Macaca mulatta: one gene and its partner. The protein of the gene in region 2 interacts with the protein of the main gene of each other region in a pairwise test. Links are inferred from orthologs where the notes say so. Each region holds a gene or a part of one and is shown on either strand. Other genes may lie near its edges. The genes, in order: CDK18 and CCNK.

Region 1 (2,651 bases), on a different chromosome or scaffold from region 2:
CCTTTGGGCCACGGCAGGGTGGGCGCGGCTCAGAAGATGCTCTGCCGCCTGTTCTTCCCTCGTCCTGGAGAATGGAGGAGGTGGGGCTGCAGCGAAGAGGCTGGGCCAAGGCATACCCCAGACCAGCAGGGACAGTCACTGTCCCCCAGAGCTGCTCTGACAGAGCAAGCAAGGGCATGCACACAGGAGTGGGTCCGACCTGGTGTCAAATCCCATCTCTGCTACTTACTAGCTGCATGTCTTGTGATTTAACCTCCCAGAGCCTCAGTTTCATTGACTATGAAATGGGGAACAGTAGTAGTACCAACTTCAAGGGGTGTTTTAAGGATTAAAGGACAGGATGCATGGGAAGCATTTGTCAATGTCCAAGGCCATTGACTGTTGTAGGAACAAAGGACCGTTCTCCCAGGATGGAATCTGATTAGAGAGCTCAGAGTTTGCAAAGAGAATGCACCAGAGACAGCATGCCTCTTTGCCAGGGCTACTGTCAAACACAATGTCCTGTCTGGGGTGAGGGTTGAAGAGGGAAGAGCTGGACGAGGAAGCCTAGGCAGGAGAAACCAACCCCTTCTCTGCTCCCTGAAGACTCCAAAGGGAAGAAAGTGGCGGAGGGACCATGGGATTCCCCACTGGGGAGGGGTAGCCTGTCCTGGCTTCCACTAACAAGGGAAGGGCTCCAGGAGAGCACAAGCCCCTACCTGGCTGCTGGAAGGCCAAGCCTCGGTAGCCTGGGTCCTTCTGGAGCTGGATCTCTTTCAGGGAGAAGATGGAGGCAGCTGGGGGAGAGGACATGGTGGAGAGAGAGCTGGGTGGAGCGGGACCAACTGAGCCCTGGAGGCAGCGTCTCATTTCCACTGTTTGCCCCCTCAGTTTGCAGTGAGAACCCCAGCAGGGGAGGCCAGGTGCCGAGGGCTGCTCAGCTGGGCCTGGGGCTTCTGGCCTCTTTGTTCTGGTTCTTCTACCCACACTCACCACCCCCTTTCCTTGGTTCTGGGTGGCCCTGCTCCCTGCCCGGACAACACTCACTGTCTTCAAGCTGGTGCACACGCTCTCCCAAAGATCGGAAGTAGGGGTGACTCAGGGCAGCCTCTGCTGACATGCGACTCTTGGATTCATACTGAAAGGCACAGGGTGGGGCTATTGGGCCCTGGCTGGGGGGCTGCAGGGAACCCTCTGAGCAGCAGGACTCTTGTGCTGGTTAGAGCACCAAGGTGGGTGGGGCTTGAGACTAACAGGAGAAGCCCTAGGTCAGCCTCCAGCCCCTACCACAAATCCAACCTCAAGCCATCTCAAGACTCAGGGGAAGGCTCCTTGGTCTCCAGCCACCAGAAAAAACCAGAAATGAAACTTGAGGACAGTGACCTTCTCTTGAGATAGAAATACAGATGCAAACCAACCATGATTAGAAGGAGAACATAGCGTTGTGCCGATAACGACCCTTCACCGTGTGCCTTAGAAGACAGGCACCACACTAAGTGTGTCCTGTCATCTCAATGTATCCTCACTGCCAGCTTATAAAATAGGAATTAATCCCACTTTGCAGTGGAGGAAACGGAGACATGGAGGAGCTCTGTAACTTGCCCAGAGCTACACAGCTAGTAACGGTTTGGGCTCGCAGTGCAGAGACTCCAGAGGATGTGTATGGAGGCCAGCGCTCCCCTGGGCCTTGGGGTGGAGAGTACAGGGATGTTTCAAAGACGTGTGAACACACGAGCCACAGAAGTTGGGACGTAGGCCTAGCATGGGGCACGGGGACTTCGGCTCTTTGGCTGCCTCTCCCTGGGCCCCGCCGGGAGGTCACTCACCGGGAGCAGGCTGCTTAGGAGGTGGATGCCATCCGTATCCAACCTGCAAGGAGAAGGCGCGGACACAGGCTGTGCCTGAGCGGGGGTGGGAGAGCCAGGGCCACAGCAGGAGGGGCGGTGCGGGCGCCGGGGCTACCTGGGCGCGTGGTTGATGAGCGGCTGCGGGAGGTAGCGGGGGAAGCTGTAGGTGCGGAACTCGGAGAAGGCGGTCACGCCCGGCCACGTCTCTTCTGTGGGGGTCCCTGGGGAGACGAGAGAAGGTGGGGAGGGCCTGAGTGAGGCCCAGGGCCAAGGCCGACTTGAAAGGAATGCAACGTAGCAGGTGGGAGCAAAGATGGCCGAGGCCACAGGGGGGTCCCCGCCCGGGAGAGAACTAGGCGAGCCGCTCCTCCCCGTCCCGCTCGGCGCCTGGGCTGGACGGAGTTCCAGCGCCCCCTGGTGGTGAGAGGGGCGGAGCAGCGGGAGACTGACCGAGGAGGCGGAAGATGAGGTGCAGCTCCTCCTTGACTGTGGAGCCCGGGAAGAGGGGCCTCCCTGTGGCCATCTCGTAGTGGATGCAGCCCACGCCCCTGCGGGGAGCAAGGGGCAGGGGCGGCATCAGGCAGGGGCGGCCGCCCTTCCTAGGGCTGCTCCACCAGGGCACCAACGACGACCTGCCACAGCTGGCTGCAGGGGTCGTGGCTCTGGCGGCGGAGGGGTGGCCCAGGGCAGTGGAGGCTCCTAGAACTGCCCAGCCCCCACTACAGCCCCTCTCTGGGGGCTTCCCTGGGCTCGGGAAAGCTGCGACCTCTCCCCTTTCGCTCTGTGAGGTTTGGGTCTGTGCAGCCAGCGCCCATGTGGCAATTC
Region 2 (3,817 bases):
TCAAGGTGGATGGCGAGGCCGCTGCTCCTCCAGCTGCCTCCGTCTCATCGCAGGCCAGAAGTGGAAAGGGTTTCAAACCCAAGCCTGTGTTCCCGTCTGTGTTCTATGCAGCAAGGCTTGAAAGTTTCAAGCTGGTTTGGAACTCAACCAGGTCCTCCAAAGGAAACCAAGGCAGGCACAGGATGGGTGCAGGCTGGCTTGGCAGGCCAATGTGCCGATCCACCCAGAGTGCCCTGGGAGGCAGTGGGGTTGGCTCTGGCTCCTGTGAACTGCAGCCAGGCCTCTCCCGGTGCCCAGGGTCCGGAAGGAGGGGCTTGTACAATGTTATCACCCGGGGACTGCGAAGGCCTGGAGCCCTACCTTCCACCCATTAACAGAGAAAGGGATAGTTTCAGAACTGCTTTTATTTGGATAACTGACTGAAGGAGTCTCATTTGTAACCAAGATGGAATTCACAGTATGTTGTTACATTCACACTTAAAAAATGTATCTCTATGTACAGGAATTTGCAAATAGATGTAAACATACATTACTTTCCAAGTACATTTCTCCCCTTCTCCTTGGAGGAAAAAAAGCCATCCAACGAGGCAACCCCTTCAAAATGATTTTAATACAAAGGATGCAAACATCTATAAATCAAAAATGTGGTTCTTCTGACCCTTCTGGGTGTCATGGGAGAGAACGTCATTGAATGAAAATGACAACAGCTTGACTTCAGATGGAATTTGACTATTTAAAATGAGTTTCCAGGAAAAGTAGGCACTGATTTCTAGAAGGAAATTAACTCCTTACCGAAGCTATTTATTGAGCCAATATGGCTGGTTAACATCTTCACTAGTATAAAGTAACCCAGTGCAGGACTCTCAGACATTAGCTGAACCAAGTGTACACAGTCAGACTGCAAGGGCGCTGATGAGGCTACTCTGAAAGCTGGCTGTCCCCGTCCTCTAGATGTGAGGACCACCCTGATTTTATCCCAGGGGCCTGGTCCATTCTTCCCATACTGCAACTGTCGCGCATTATATAAGGTACCCTGCTGCTTACCCACTTCAACTACTCTGCAAGTCGATTAGAAAAACTTGTTAAAAAAAACAAAGGGGGAAAAAAAGGCTCACGTTATCTCATCCAGGCTGCCCGCCCCAGTCCCCCAACTGGAGGCATGCCAGGTGGGGGAATGGGCGGGGGCACAGGGGGCTGTCCTCCAGGGGGCACGGCAGGAGGTGGGTAGCTGGCTGGAGGCAGGCCCAAGCCTGGAGGAGGATGAGGGGGGACTGCATGGGTAGGGGGCAGGCGTGGAGGTGGGGGTGGGAAGTTGGGGTTGTAGGTGGGTGGGGGTGGAGGGTAGCCAGGAGTAGGGGGCGGGATGGCAGGTGGGGGGAAGGAGGCTGGGGGAGGAGGCACAGGTGGTGGGGGCGGATTGGGTGGGTAGACATGGGGGTGGTAGGGCAGGTGTGCAGGTGGGCCGTATGCGGGGGGCAGGGCGCCGTAGGAGGGTCCCTCGGTCTTCATCATGGACTGCAGGCTCTGGTAGCCCTCTCCAGACATGTAGGAGCTGGTGGTGGACATCCCAGTCATGTAGCTGGAGGGCGGCGGGGGCGGGGGCCGGTGTGGCAGCGGCGGTGGCTGGTGCACAGGGGCCGGGTGAGCCGGAGGAGGAATCTGGACTTTGGGGAGGTCAGTGGCATCCACAGGGCCCGGCGGCTCAGCCTCACCTAAGGCAGCAGCGAGGGGAGGCTTCCGGTCTGCAGGAGAGAGATGTGTTGGTGCCCGGCCTCTGCAAGCAATAGCTGCTTTTTCAGTGCCTCCTGGCCCTTCAGGGCCATCTTTACAGAGGAGCAGGGAGCAGCTGCCCCTTCCTCTGTGGCCCAACACATGGGCCCGTTCCCCATGTCCTGATGCCACCAGATGTCTCCCCACCATTTGTCAAAAAGGCCCTCCACCCTGTCTGTGATGAGCTGGGGTTTCCCTCCCTCAGCCCTAACCACACCACCCGCAGGCAGTCTCGGCAGCACACGAAGCCCCCTTGTGCCCTGGCCCCAGCCCCCTCTTCCTAGTGTAAAATGTGTGGGGGCTCCTCTGTTTTTCTGCCTTCAGAAACTGACCCCAAGAGTCAGGGCCACACTGAACTCCTGTCTGCAGCAGTGGCATTTTGCAGAAAGCCTCAGAGTTGGTCAAATGAATGTGATGGCATTTAAAATAATTCCGTACAAGTCTCTGACATTCCCAATGTACCCATCGAAGCAGCAATTCAGGTTCTATTCTACTCAAGAGGGGTTAGATCAAACCCCACTGCGTACTCTCAGATAGCAGCCTCCTTGAGAGGAGTGTGTGCAAGCGTGCTGCGCGTGCGTGCTGCGTGCTACGTGCTGCGTGTGTGTGCATGCTTCGTGTGTGTGCGTGCTGCTGTGTGTGTGCGTGCTGCTGTGTGTGTGCGTGCTGCTGTGTGTGTGCGTGCTGCTGTGTGTGTGCGTGCTGCTGTGTGCGTGCGTGCTGCTGTGTGTGTGCGTGCTGCTGTGTGTATGCAGCAGGGATAGGCAGCACTAGGTGTCAAGCACACCCAAGATACTTGTGCTCAGAACCAGCCTCAGGCCCCTCCCGCAGCGCCTCCCAGCCCATGAGCCCTCATGCCCCCTTCCGCCAAAGCCTTATTTAACACATTTTGGCCTGTGATCTCTTGGTCACCATCAGACCCCTGGAAAATGGCGTCGGAACACCCCACCACAAGTAGCCAAACACACAGAATGAGTGTCCTTTCCCAAGGCAGCACAGGAGACAAACCATAGGCACAACATTTCTGGTTCCAGAGAACATAAAGAGGACAAAGGCCATGAAGATGCTTCTGGTTCCCCAGGCACTTGGGTTAGGGAAGGCAGAGCATGACATCCTGGTTGTGTAGACGTGGCCATTGGCACACAACCCGTTTGATCTTGCCAAAGCGAGCATGAGCAGGATTGATTGGGCTGGTAACAGGTGTGCCATTGGGGACTGCCTGTGCAGATCAGCCCTCGCCAGCCACTGGGCAGGAAGGCCATATATGCCTGGCCTTAGAGAACTGGCTTTGGCTCCAGGTCAGGGCCAGATGCCCTGTGGTTCCAGAAGCTGACTAAAAAAGAGGTGCAGAAAAGCGCTGACACCCTTCAATGCCTCCTGTGTGTCATTCCACAGCCACCTGGGCCACAGGCCTGCTCCTCTACCTTGCAGAAGCCAACTCTTCCAACACTCGACCCTGCAGCCTGAATCTTCAAGTCACCAGTGCACCCGCCCTTGTGCTGTGTGACTGAGCTCGAACAGCAAGTGGGGGTCTATCCTCGGCACCCCATTCCCTCTGTACACTTGCTCCTGACCAAGTGCCATACACTGCCACCAAACCCCTCCCTAAACATCACTGCTGACCTGAACACCTCTTCCCATGGTCTAGGGCCTCCCAGGAAGCGTGCTTCCCTCCGTTCCTCGTGGCCCAGCTTTACTGTGCCTCCCAGGCCCTGCTCTTTCCAGCCATGGCCTCCTGGCAGTGTATCTGGTTCCCAGGTCCCACTCAAGTCCCAGGCCTACTCCTGGCTGTCTGTAATGTGGGAGGGAGCAGAGCTCTGAGGCCTCCACAGCAGCTACTCAGTGCCCTGGAGGCAGCAGCACCTCTCTGGCCGCCCCGGGATCCCCAGGTGAACCATCCGTCTCCTCAGTGAAGGCACAGCCCCAGGCTTGGACCAGGGGAACTGTACTTGGCGAGGAGGTGCTCCTTAAATGCTTCACGAGCAGCCGCAAGCATTTTTTTAAGTAAAGTTCATATTGAATTGGGGGTTTTGGGATTTGGCCCAAA

The links.
Region 1: the proteins of CCNK (region 2) and CDK18 interact in binary tests that used the Homo sapiens proteins (3 or more experiments, as listed by UniProt). The two-hybrid records come from large-scale screens. The link is inferred for Macaca mulatta from reciprocal best matches to the Homo sapiens genes CCNK and CDK18.

The regions. Positions count from the first base shown.
Region 1 is NC_133406.1:63,289,805-63,292,455, reverse strand, and holds part of CDK18 (cyclin-dependent kinase 18), read right to left. Parts: exon of another isoform or gene 2,375-2,651; coding exon 2,277-2,374; intron 2,048-2,276; coding exon 1,942-2,047; intron 1,849-1,941; coding exon 1,806-1,848; intron 1,118-1,805; coding exon 1,027-1,117; intron 777-1,026; coding exon 699-776; intron 65-698; coding exon 30-64; 3' UTR 1-29. UniProt on the Homo sapiens protein: May play a role in signal transduction cascades in terminally differentiated cells.
Region 2 is NC_133412.1:172,832,286-172,836,102, reverse strand, and holds the end of CCNK (cyclin-K), read right to left. Parts: intron 1,743-3,817; coding exon 1,117-1,742; 3' UTR 387-1,116; downstream 1-386. UniProt on the Homo sapiens protein: Regulatory subunit of cyclin-dependent kinases that mediates activation of target kinases.